2 linked regions of the Astyanax mexicanus genome follow. The protein of the gene in region 1 interacts with the protein of each later gene in a pairwise test. Links are inferred from orthologs where the notes say so. Each region holds a gene or a part of one and is shown in the gene's direction. Other genes may lie near its edges.

Region 1 (6,984 bases):
GAGAAATAGGCTTGGGCAAATATGTAACTAGTTATTAGATGCAGGAATTTTTCCTGTATTAATTTACTAGTAACAGAATGGCAACAGACTGTGCAATTCCTTAAGGTTTCTTAGGTCTGGTAAAATAAAATTAATATATTAAATCCACATTAATATATAGAATATGTCTACATTATATTACTATACTGTAGTGTCACCAGGGGTGGAATAACGAGGCCAAACGATAGTCCTATTTTTTTAGTATGATAGTTCTTTTTAAACAGCGATTCATCAGTGAAGACCCTTTTTCTCTCTCTAACCAAACATCAGAGTTGCTAACGTGTGCTTACAGCATGCTTACGCGGTGACTCTGGTCCGCTCGCGGGGGTCGCTAACCCAGTGTTAGCATAGCAGCATGCTAAGACACTGACTCTAGTCCGCTCATGGGGGATGCTAACTAACGTGGTGTTTCCATAACAGCATGCTAACGTGGTTACTTTGGTCCGCTCATGGGGGTTGTTAACACTACTTTCTACTTCCTGCTACTACTAGCTACTTCCAAGAAATGGCTGTAAGCCAACACAGTTCATTGTAGCCACGTGTTTCTAAAAAAAAAAAAATCAAAATACAAAGATTCCTCACAACTCTTACCCATGCAGTTTTTTTTTATGAGACGGTATAGCTAGCCACCAGTTTAAAGGGGTATTATATCGGCGGTTTAATACTTGCCTATTTCCAAGAAATGGGTGTAAACTGTTTTATAAACATAATATATGAAATACAGTTGCCTCACGATTAAAATAAACAGTGACTGTGCTCGTTCCGTGTAATCCTTCTGTAGGACTTTGCATGATATTTTCTTCAGTATCTTGTAAAATGTGGGATCTTACAATATTTTTTTAGGTGTGCTTAGTCATGTCATGTTGACTTTACTTACAAATTTCTAAACAAAATAAACACAAATTTCGGGCTTTACTTGCTGTTTTAATTAAGCAAAGGGGAAAATCCTATAATTTTAAGTCTTTTCATTATAATGAGCAAAGATTTCTGGGCTTAAGTCTTGTTAACTTTACTTAAATGTATAAACAATAACTTAACCCATTATTAGGGATTTGGGGTTGGGTTATATGCCCAATAACTTCAACAAAGAAGAAAGAGGGCAACTACTAAATGTGCTGGGAGCTCCTTGAAAGCTCCTAAATCCTCACAACTCCAATGCCAACACTGCCACAATATTAGTACAGTAATATGGTTCTCTCTAAATGAAGAATAATAATTTATGTTCATTAGGTTAGCATTAGCAGTTTCCCACAGCTTTTGCATATTAACTGATTCTGTAGGTTTATTGATTTAAGAACATGACATTTTGCACAATTTTCTGTCATACCATCTATAATGAGGCTACATTATAGAAGGATAAGAGTGGAAAGTAAATGATTAACTGATTTATTCATTTACTATTTCACTCATAGGTTCCTTCATTTATATTACATTATGTGTCACAGTCTAAATGTCTGTCTTGATAAGATCAGGGCTGATAAAACTCTGATAGAGGACTTCATATCAATCAACAAAAGCAGTGTATTTATTCACATTCACTGTTTGCCCTTTAAAGATTAATACCTCTTTCTTTGATATGCACACTCACACATACTTCAAAAGTATTTTAAAACATTCCACTCAGATGAGAGTAAAGTACATGTTCCAGATATTAATTTAAGGGTATTTACATGCATCACAATTTTACCATGTTGAAATTAAAAATAAAATGTTGTAGCCCAAATTTAGGGCAATACAGCTCTGGGGGAAAACTTAGAGACAACGTCAGTTTCTGAATCAGTTTCTCTGATTTTGTTGTTTTATTCTATAAACTACAGACAACATTTCAAAATAAAAAATATTCTCATTAAGAGCATTAATTTGCAGAAAATGAGAAATGGCTGAAATAATAAAAAAATGCAGAGCTTTCAAACTTCAAATAATGTAAAGAAAACAAGTTTTTATTCATAAAGTTTAAGAGTTCAGAAATCAATATTTCGTGGAATAACCCTGAGTTTTAATCACAGTTTTCATGCATCTTGGCATGTTCTCCTGCACCAGTCTTACACGCTGCTTTTGGATAATTTTATGTCACTCCTGGTGCAAACATTCAAGCAGTTCATCTTGGTTTGATGGCTGTGATCATCCATCTTCCTCTTGATTATATTCCAGAGGTTTTCAATTTGGTAAAATGAAACAAACTCATCATTTTTAAGTGGTCTCTTATTTTTTTCTATAGCTGTATAATGTTAGGAAATCTGCAGTAATATATACATGAGAGCAGTCATGTTAAGTAAGTTTTTGACAATCTTTTCACTGACTGACGGAGGTCTGCAGTTTACAGAGATTTTCATCAAGCCTACAATGCAGCCATCTTTTACTCTTGCTTGTTTCTGGTCCTTTTTTCCTCAGTTGTCTGCTCAGTAAATGGAAAACATAATCAATTTAATTTAAATCAGGTTTAAACTGGTTAAAACAGCTTTAATTTTTATTTTGAGGAACTCCTTTAATGTCTTAGCAGTAGATGCGTCAAGTAACGAGGTACAAATACTTTGTTATCTTACTTAAGTAGAAATGGTTATCTATACATTTCCAACTCCGCTTTGGTTTATACTGTGATCCATCACACCTTAATGTCACGTCTTACTCCAGCAAGAACATAGCAGAGGTATGTAGCCTAGTATGAAGATGATCCGTGCAGAGACTCAAGAGAACTTAAGCAAAATGTCTCAACTAGGCTTCTTTAGTATAATTGAATATTTGAATAAAATGAATTCATTTTCAATGAGCCTAGTACATCCCTGCATTAACATTTTAATATAACATTTTAGAAAAAATAGGCTCCTGAGGTACAGCCTAAGCTTATGTTCTTAATGCCATTTTCCCCTTACTTTACTTTTACTTTTATACTTTAAGTAAATTTGAAACCTGTACTTTTACACTTTTACTTTAATTTCTGCAGAAGTATTTTAACCCCTGTTATATACACTTCTATCTGAGAAATGAATGTGAAGACTCTTAACAAAGTTGCTCTTCAGTATGTTTGGGATGATTATTTAGCTGCAGGATTAAGCACCGCCCAGTAAATTTGGAGACTTTTGTTAGAAATTGAGTCAAGTGTCAGTGCGCTACTGCCATCAGTGAAGATAAGTGCACCAGCATCTGTGGCAGCCGTGCAAAGCTTCAGTATGTCTTGACACCCACACCTTCATGGTTCACAGATAAGGTGGTATACCTTACAGCTGATTGGCAGCTCCACTTCCAACACATCAACTTTGAGAACTGACTGTTCACTTCCTGCCTAATAAATTCCAGCTCTTGACAGGTGCAATTATGATGGGATAATCAATGTTATTCACTGATTCACTCGTGTGGTTTTGTGTGTGTGTGTGTGCTGTTTAAAGGGTCACTGACACATGGGTAGGTGTATCTAGGCAATCAATAATTACCCTACACTGCAACTGGCAAATTTCCAAATTTCCGTAACCTAGATTAAAACAGAGCAACACAGTATCTGCCTTTTCTGTTCTAGACATTTTAAACATAAGCCACAGATCACTAAATCTCTAACAAGCCAAAAGCACTGGTGTAAAATTCCTTCATGAGCCAATAAGCAGCGCACTTACAATATCAGCAAACATCTATAGAAGCCTCTATGTACATAACCTTGGCTTAGCAGGCCAAACTTTTAATTTGATTTATGAAACAACCTTCATCATCACACTAACAGAGACTTATATATAAATATATATATATATATATATATATATATATATATATATATATAACCTCCATCCACTCTTTATCTCCTTGGAATGCCATAACCTAATATTTACCCAGGAGCAGTGTCCCCAAAGCTTTTTGGTTAATTATTAACTCGTGGTGACATTGCCAGGCTGCTGGTTAAACAACAGAAGAAAAAAAAAAAAAAGACAGAAAGAAAAGAGAGGAGATCAAATAAAACAACGATTTTTTTTATGGACTGAAGATGTGAAAGGCTAAGCAAGAAAGTGACAGGGAGGCACTGCAGATAGCTGCTCTGAGATGGCGGTTTGTCCTCAGCGGTCTTCAGCCATGAATGGGAGTGGCTGCACACCTGTCGGACCGGTTCGCGACACATGACTCCCAGGGACTTACACACTTCAACACACTCGTTCTCTGGAAAGCCTTTGAGCCTCTGAGAGAGATGGCTGAAGCCACGAACCCGGCCGCTACCTCTTTCCCAACGCCCACTATATCCTTACCGCTCGGGCTGGACGTTTTGAGAACGTACTCGGGGGCTCTGATATGCTTGGAGATCGTAAGTGTGTGTTAAATTTTAAATCTTGTGTAATGTTTGCATGTTTTTGATCAGTGTAAAATAGTCATGCTGAAGAAATGCCTGAATAGAAAAGAGCAGAATTGCTGAGCAATACTTAATAAAGTATATAAATGTTGCTTGTGGCACTACTATGGATTATTAAGAATGATTGATTAAGAATGGCTTTAGAGTAGCAAACACAACCTAAACCATTAATGCACCTAATTCATAATCAAATAGACTCAGATTGAGCAGTGATTTCATGCTGTGCAACTCTTTACTAAGTCATTTCAGGTTGAAGTGTGTATTTCAGGACACATCTCAACTTTTACACAGTGATTTCTTCTGATGGATGAATAGGCCTCTGATCAGATTACTAATAGAACATTTTGTACCTCTCCTGTTCCCTCCTGCTAGGTTTTCGGCGGGTTAGTATGGATCTTAGTGGCATCGTCCAATGTCCCCGTGCCTCTTCTGCAGGGCTGGGTGATGTTTGTGTCCGTAACCATGTTTGTGTGCTCCTCCGTGTACCTCGCCCTGTTTCTGCTGGGCTTTGCTGATAAAATCAACGCAGACTGGAATTTCATGGTGAGTATCTTTAACTCCTTCCTACATGGAGTGTTCATTTCCCTACTATACTGTTGGACACTGCTGGACTCCAGCTTACCTGACACAGAGAGGTGTCAGGTAACAAAATACAAATACTTTGTTACCTTACTTAAGTAGAAATGTTGATTATCTATACTTTACTGGAATAGTTATGTTTTTACTTCTTACATGTTTACACAATAATCTGAATTTTCTTCTCCTTACTTTTTAAATATAGCCTTGTTACTCTATTTAATTTCAGCTTGTTTTAATTCTGGCTTCTCATTGATAAAAAAAAAAAACCTTATCCAGATAAATCTCTTTATATTTAAAGACAGATACAGTGAATTTTATTGTGATTGGATGAGAAGAATAAACATATACCATTCCAACACTATTGGTTTATACACGATCCAGCACACCTACACACGTCACACCGTCACACTCCAGTAAGAACATAGCAGACGTATGTAGCTTAGTATGAAGATGATCCATGCCGAGACTCAAGAGAACTCGAGACAAATGTCCCAACTAAGCTTCTTCAATATATTTACATTGTACTAAAATACATTTATTTTCAGTGGGCAAATATGCAGATGAAAAAGTGAGCCTAGTGCATCCTAAAAATGTTAATATAACATTATACTCATTATGGATTTTAGATAAATGCTTCTGAAGGGGTGGGTAGTGCAAAAAATGCCCCTAAGGCATGGCCTAATCTTTCTGTTCTGTTAATCTGTTCTTAATGCCATTTTTTTAATTCTATTTTAAAACTCTAGTATCTATACTTCTACCAGAGTAATGAATGTGAATACTTTTCATACCTTTTGCAGGAAACATTATAAGGAAGTTTAGCAATGTTTTGAAAAGGTTCCAGAAAGGTTAGCCTGTAATGTCACAGAAATAATGTTCCAGGAACATTCTGAAAACATGAGACATGATAATGGTTTGCATTACAACATTTTTAGAACTTTCTTTATAACATTCCCAGTTAGATAAATATTAACATTATGGAAACTTTAAAAGTAACATTCTCAAAACTAACAAATTAAAACACTGACACAAGTGACAGTGCAGCAATGTTAATTAAAATGATGTTCTAATGATGTTAATTGTAACATTTAGAAAACATTCTACCAACCAATCATTGATATTTGGAATTCAATATTTAATATATGTACACAATAAACCATTACTACTATAGTACTATAGGCTTTCTAAGAAAGGAACTTCTAAATAGAGTATCACAGAAACACACCAGTCCAATAACATTGTGACGAATACCCATGATGGCACAGTTACTTGGAACTCATTCAAAACTGAGCAAACAAAAACTGATTCCCATTCAGTTAGCATGCTGTTGGCTGGGTTCCTTAAATCTGACAAAGAGCTCCGTCTGCAGTGAAACTAGAGTGGAAGTGGCCAAAAGGCGTGCCAGTCCTCAGTCCTGGCCCGGGTTCCAGCCCTGCTGCTGAGTAATGTCTGCTTTATGAGCATGATTAATGGTCACAGCTTAACAGTCCTGCACATATCTGTGTGTAACATGTCCTTCACATTATACTCATATTCCTTAATAATTAATTGCTGCAGAGATAAAGCACAGATTATTGCTGATATCCTGTTAATTAATTGCATTAATACAGAGTTGAGTTTTAATACACTGCCTGGCCACAAAAAAAGGTCACACTCTTTAATATTTCGTTGGACCGCCTTACGCTTTGATTGTGTCACACATTCACTATGGCATTGTTTCAATAAGCTTCTGCGATGTCACAAGATTTACTTCAATCCAGTGTTGCATTTTTTTTGCAATCATTTTTCACCAAAATCTTGCAGCATTGATAATGGTAGAGTCTGACTTCTGAACAAAGCCTTTTCCAGCACATCCCAAAGATTCTCAATAAAGTTTAGGTCTGGACTCTGTGGTGAACTCTCAATCCATGTGTGTAAATGATGATCTCATGCTCCCTGATTCACAATTCACAATTTCACAATTCCAGTCCCATGAATCCTGACATTTTGTCAGTATATTTTTATTGTTATCCTAAACGAAGGAGGAGATAAGAAAATGATGATGA
Region 2 (7,135 bases), on another chromosome or scaffold:
TAAAGGGTAACTAAACCGCTCAAATTTGAAAAAGGCAAAAAAATGGGACGGGCACTGGGTGATGTATGGGTTTAGAGGCGGGGCAGGAGGAAGAGCTGATTGGCTGATAGTGGTAAGACCTGGATGGTTGGACGTCAGCAGAGGGCGGTATTATTAAGCGACTGAACTGCATATTGTGATGTGTCAGCGTACCAAAGTACGCAGACACATCATCCTCGCCTATAGCACAGTTGAACCTGAGAGGGCGCCGCAGAGGCAGAAATTACCACAATAAAAGCATTTATTTTTATGTTTATAAAAATTTTAAGCAGAACTGGTGGGTTTCATTACTTTAAAGTAACACAATTTAGCTATTAATGGAACAAAATATGGTTATGGCTTTAGTGGCTCTTTAAAACAACCTACTTCAAACTATTTAAAGTGGGTGTGTTTCTTTAAATGGAGCGTCTCACACCAAACTCACTCTAACTAAGATAATTACAGTTAATAACAGATTTATCTTAATTTATTCTAAAAGTTTAAATAGTGAAATTTCCTTCTAAAGAGTCCTACATATGCCTGTGCTGATAATTGCTGAGAATTAATTGAAAACTAGAATTATTGTAATTTTAAGACATTTTATGCAACTGATATAACGATAATAGTATAAAAATGCAATATTAAAGGTTATGTCCATAAATTGAATGATATGCCGAAAATTTATTTTTTGGGACAGGCCTAGTCCTACAATATTAAATTAAATTGAATTTACCTCACCTATAAATGTTAACTTCATTTGTGGGTTTTTGGGGTGTGAAGACTCATTTTCACACACACACACACACACACACACACACAAACACACACATTCACTCAGGGAGTTGGCTGGGCTCTCGGTCCTATAATTGTTGTATTGTCTTCTTCAGTTAGCCTAGCAGGCTAACACCTCTCACCCATTAGCAGAGATACATGCCATGTGTGTTGCTAACTGTTCTCCTCAGTGTTCTCCATTAAATGTTCTCCCATCTGATTATCAGCACCATCACAGAACTTCACAACCTCATCTATATAAGAAAATAGGATCTCAGACTATGATAAAGTATAAATATAATAAATATATATATATATATATATAAGATCCTGTGTTTTTTTTTTCTCGTGATCTGTCTCTCTGTCGCTGGTCCTGTTCCTCACACAGTTAGAGTTCTCCACCTCTTTATTACGGAGAACCGTAATTCTATTTTTTTAAGAGCGTTTTTAAGAGAAGCAGAATTTCCTGAGTTGTTAATTGTCACAATTCCTTCTGTGTTTCCTTTCATTCTGAGTTTTTTTTTTTAAATCATAGATTTTAATAAATGTAATTTATGATGTATTATGAATAAGAAGATTTAAAAAGTTACACAGGATGAAATGTAAATTGGACATTGGGAAAACAGTATATGGATAAAGAATGTAATAAAAGTCTTTTTACATAAAATGAACATTTGTTTTGAGTCAGTTGTGTAATAATGTTTGGCACTAAGATTGTATTAAAGCTGTTAATTAAGTGAATGCTGCCCTCATGCGGTGAACAGATAAACTGCAGTGGCCATTAGGATTAAGTGCATTCGGCTGTGTGTCCAGGTTACAGTCATTTAGGTAGTATTAACAATAAATAAAATAATCTCTAATTTTAAGTGAATCAAAATATTGTAGAAAACATTCTCCTATATGAGGAGATAAAAGTACAAAATGTATCTTTTTTTGGCTACATTAATATTGTTGTACTAGCTATACTGTATCTATATAATCATAACAATAGATGTTTATCGGAAGGACCAAACAAGTTTTACTATATAGGAAATACATAATACATATTTAATTAACGTTTATGTCTTGCTTCTAAAGTTCCGGGATTTAACAATTTAATCAAATTTCATATATCACATATAATTATGAACTTTAATTTTACAGAGGAAGCCATGTGACCTTTACAACAAGCAGATTTTTTAAGCTGCTCAATTAATTAAATCGATTCGATTATTTTTGTTTTGATTCAATATTTTAAACTGGGTCTGGGCTCTTATTTTAAATTTAGTTCCTACATTTAAAATTACATACAAAACATGATTTATATATATATTTATATATATATTTTGCGGGTAACAACTCAGGGTGTCACTAGAAATAATTAGAATATCAACACAATGGCTTAACATATTTGTAAGAAAAAAGAGACACACCCTCTACAGCTTAAATGCAGTGCATTAAAACATAAATTTACTCCAAGCTGGGCTCGTAAACGTACTGTAAACTCGGCTGCCCATCATTTATCCCCACAGTAAAGATCTCAAACGTCGTTGCTGAAAGCATCCAGCAGATGGCGCAGTTCTGCACTTTTCCTTTACCAAGTGTAAAAATATGTATATTGCATGTTGTTTCTTATGGAAAATGTAATTTTCATACATACGTTGGATCTGTCTGTCTATCTATGTATCTCTCCATGTATCTTTTTTTTTCTTTCTTCTTTTAGCCAATGATCGGAACAGGTTTACAGTGCTAATGATAGAGGCATACGTGTCGCCCATGCAAATAAATCACTATTATGACAAAAATAACCAGCTCAAAGTAGCTCCCACCTTCATTGGTAGAATTGTGAGGGTCCTGACATTTAAAATGAGTCACTGGCTGCGTCCAGAAACCCCAAAGGTGTCTCCTTTTTCCTACCGATCCTCCTCCTCTCCTCCGTGACCGAGAAAAACTGATTTTGTGGCGCCATCTTGCCGCCTGTCCGAAAACCGTAGGAGACGAAAGAATCCGCTTAAAATCCTCATGTAGAAGGCTTCCAAAGGAGGGTACATAAAAGCATCCTACTCCGGAAGACTTTTAAGGATTTTTTAATGACATCACTGCATCCACGCCCACAAAGCATGGAGAAGGCAACGCACAAATATATGTCATAAATGTATTAATTAACTAGGTTCTTTATCTAATAAAACAGTCAGTAAAGCAGTAATATAATTTATAGTTTAGATAAGCTGTATGTTAGTTGTATGTTCAGTAAAACTATATTAAAGACCCTATTTGTACCATGTTATACATATACATACATATATTATTTATAATATATATATATATATATATATATATAATTTTAATTTATCTATTTTTTCTTTTTCTTTTTTTTTTACTTAGGGACAGATGAGGAAACTGAAACCCTCATAAGGCTGAGGTCATAAGGCTGCGGCTGTGGCCAAAAATGCGGCTGGGAGTAAACAGGATTTTATTGGAATATCTGAATTTTTAGCTGTGTGTGATAGTAATGTTCCAAAACATGTGCTGAAAGTAAGCGTTGTGATTGGCTCAGTTCATCGGCAGTCAACATTATATCCAAAAGGGATCAGCTGTCCCATTTCCCCAATTGCAATCCCCTTCCCTCCATTCCTCCTCTCCTCTCCTCGATTCCTCCACCTTCTTCCGGGGTAGGAGAGGAGGAGTAGGAAAGGAGGAGTAGGAGAGGAGGAGTAGCAAAAGTTTCTGGACGCAGCCACTGAGATCATTGAAAGTGCACAGATGTAAAGTGCATAGTTTATGAAAAAAGAATGTTTTCCAGGTGCAGCCATCTTGAAATTAAGTCAAGATAAGTCTAAAGTAAAAAAAATGGTAGGATAAGGGACTAGATTGCAAAATTAATTCTGTGGAAATTTCCATAGACTTAATTTTGCCTGTTGGAAGCATCGGCTAATATTCCTGTATTTCGAAATGCTGGGGGTGAACAGAGGTGGGCTATTTGACAAAATTTTTAACCTTTTTTTTAATGTTTCACTTCACTTCAAGTTCATTTCACATCGGATTTCTCATTTAACTAATTCAACACTGTTGACTTATGTCAAGTCTGGAGTCAAATCTTTTCATTAGCCTACTTAAAATGTGCACGCACCTCCAGAATAGGCCACGTGGCCAATATATCATATAATTTGTCCCCCTCTTCAGGTTAGCAGGGGAACTGCAGCGGCCTCTGCTCTGGGTGCAGTACCGCTAGTGGCCGGCAGATGTCGCTGAAAGCTCGGTGTGTGGGGTTGGGGAATGTGCTGCGTTGCGCAGGAAGCGGTGGCGAGAGGGAGAGTGTGTGGGGACCGCTAGCTGTTCTCAGTGCAGCTACACTCGAGTTACAAACAAAGTGGATAAAACTGAACCAGGACCAGGGGACATTTTCCGCCCGCACCGGCCGCTTTTAGAGACCCGCAGAGCTGCTCTCATCCCGGGGAACCGTTCAGCAGCGGCGGCTGTGGGGCTCTCCGTGCTCGGCTGGTTAAAACCGTTTGGTGTGTTGGTGCCGTGGAGGCGCTGGAGTCTGGAGACAATTTAATTTTTTCAGCTTTTAAGCGATTAATTCGCGTTTGTTTACTGTATTAAACCGGTTTAAAAGCACTTTAACACTTTATCGCGCTGTTTTCGTCGAAAAACCCGGCCTGAAGATGTCTGTCGCGGGCTTGAAGAAGCAGTTCTACAAAGCCAGCCAGGTCTGAGTTAACTTTTCTCTTCTTCAACTTTCTCCACTTAATCTCATAAACTTTAACTTTTTAACATTTTAAAGAACTTAAAACCGTTTAAAGTTTGTTTGATAAGTGTTAAAGTGTGTTTTTAAAGTGTGTATGCGTTTATTTTTATGTTAAGTTTTCTCATACTGGCGACTTTGCCACCAAACTAACGTTAGCTAACCTAACGTTAACTGTGCTGCACATTTTGCATTGTGGAGCTGGTCGATAAATATCGAGGGAAAAAAAGCCCAATGTCGTGATATGTTTGATATACCGCGGTATCACGATATCAGGCGATGTTTAGGTTGAAGTTTTAATTAATTAATTCATAATTCAAGTGAATGCTGTGTTGTACAAACGCAAAACTGTGTATTTTTGTAATTGTGAGCATTTGGTAGAGTAAGGTCTTAAGTCAATTTATTTCTTATTAAATCAGTATCACTATGTCTTTGGATGGGCAATGCATCAGTAATATTTGCAGCCTAATGTCATGTAAATATTCATAAAGCTTAAACTTGTAATATAGAACATTATCTAGTTGATCTATCAACATCAGGGAATGTTTAAGTTATCTTTATCTTTGTCTTTTATCCTTGTGCAATTATAACTGAACTGTCCTTCTGTTTATAAGTCTAAAATTCTATTTATATCCATTCAGCATAAATGGATATAATTAAATGCGAAACATATAATGCTAAAGTAGATAACAAACAATGCTGTCATGTTATAATTACTATGTATTTGGATAGTGTTTGGATAGACAATATATTGTCCATCAGTGTTATGGTGGTTATAACTGTCTTTACTACTAATTGCCACTTTACTAAAGCTCTTAACAACTGTATTCATTGTAGTCCTATCCAATATATATAGACATAAATTACAATATCATTCATTACAAGTCATTTTCCTTGGCATAAGTAGACTGTTGTGTTAATTTAACACAAAGTTCAATTGGGTTACCCAAAAGGAACCTTATTTAGTGTTGTACCCTAAATATTAAACTAAATTTTATATTGGTAGACGATACTTTTATCGGTAGTCCATCAGTGATGAAGCAGTTATAACTGTCATTACTTCTTATAGGCTCTTCAGTAGAATGCCCACAGAGATTAAAACAACTGTGTAAGGTTAACAAGCCAAAGCTAATCCTAAAGATAATAGAGAATCAACTAGAAGTAACCAGCAGTGAGAGTTCAAGCAAACAGCAAATAAATTCTCGACCTGAAGTGTCTTATAGCCTCTTAACTATAGAACTCCATAGCTTTATCCGTTGTAGCACTAGCTGATACAAAAGCAATCTTAATATTATGATTTATATATTTATATATATATATATATATATATATATATATATATATATATATATATATATATATATATATACCATGGGTCTCACAATATTGTGAGTTGTTTGTTGGAGTTGTCTCCTTAAATTATTCCAAATAAAAAATTACGCCAAATCATAGTTCAATATGAGGAGAAAACACATTTCTAGAAAGGACACTGTTTATTTATTTCTTAAATTATACACTATGGCTTAAACAGAAAAGCAAAAATTGTGGCTTTAGAATTGTTCTGCATTTTGGTAGACCACAAATCGCCTGTCAGTGATAAAGAGGTTATGGTTATAACCATAGACTGTATATAGCTGGACAGAGCATCGTCTCTTAAAAGTGAAGCCACCACAGGTCAGGCGCCCCCTGCTGTTCGGCTGCAGAAAGCTGTGTAAATCCACCCATCCCCATAGGTTTCAATGGCAAAACAGACAACATTCAATCACGTTTTTTCTAATATACTGTAATTCTACCTCCATTATTTAAATGCAGCAGCTAGTGTAACCTCTGCTTATATTGTCAAATTTTTATATCCCCACAGAATTCGGTTTTTAAAAGTTTATTCAGCTCTATTCAAAAAAGGTCTGTGACCGCGAGGCAGCCCTCAGGGGCGGGGTTATTTAAATGAGTAGGTTGCTATCCACAGTCTTTCTCCCTCCTCTAGTCTCTACTGCGCAGAATCAGGTGGCAGGATCGCCAACATGGCGGAAGATTTTGGCTTCATTTTCATTGAATGAATGGGAACGGAGACACGGCGTCCATCTTTTTTACAGTCTCTGGTTATAACTGTACTTATGGCTTGTAGCCTCTTTTCCAGAGTGTATAAATCCTCAACCATTGGTGTTTTCTCTTCAGCCAAAGTGTTTCAGTCACTTTAATTGTGTTTTTAGACATTTTCTTCACTCTCTCACCCAAATGCTTTGTAGGTTGGCAAATGTACATCAAAGCTAAATGAAGGAGTTGGCTAGGCAAGGAAATGGCAGGTTTTGAGAAAAGGCTGCAGATAGTTTTAAAATCTGAACAGCGTTAAGGATGCAGCTTATTATAGCTGCTTTATGAGTGCAATTTGGAGAAAACACAGGCCATGTTCACTTCAGCAGAGCTGCAACGTGTTCCTTTAACCGTTTACAAAGGTAGAGGGATAATCTATTGGCAGAAACTGAATGAACACAGCCAAGCTGAGGTAGATTTCAAAGCCTGAGGTGTGATTGACTTTGTTCCAGTAAGGGGTGAGCTGCCAAATATACCAGGCTAAAGCTGAGGGTTTTGCTGAGTCCAGTTAGCCACAGTTTCCTTTGG

Evidence for each region.
Region 2: the proteins of mal2 (region 1) and sh3gl1b interact in binary tests that used the Homo sapiens proteins (3 or more experiments, as listed by UniProt). The two-hybrid records come from large-scale screens. The link is inferred for Astyanax mexicanus from reciprocal best matches to the Homo sapiens genes MAL2 and SH3GL1.

Annotation. Positions count from the first base shown.
Region 1 is NC_064413.1:15,461,950-15,468,933, forward strand, and holds the start of mal2 (protein MAL2), read left to right. Parts: upstream 1-3,953; 5' UTR 3,954-4,096; coding exon 4,097-4,318; intron 4,319-4,735; coding exon 4,736-4,906; intron 4,907-6,984. UniProt on the Homo sapiens protein: Member of the machinery of polarized transport. Required for the indirect transcytotic route at the step of the egress of the transcytosing cargo from perinuclear endosomes in order for it to travel to the apical surface via a raft-dependent pathway.
Region 2 is NC_064419.1:7,483,763-7,490,897, reverse strand, and holds the start of sh3gl1b (SH3-domain GRB2-like 1b), read left to right. Parts: upstream 1-4,053; 5' UTR 4,054-4,436; coding exon 4,437-4,481; intron 4,482-7,135. UniProt on the Homo sapiens protein: Implicated in endocytosis. May recruit other proteins to membranes with high curvature.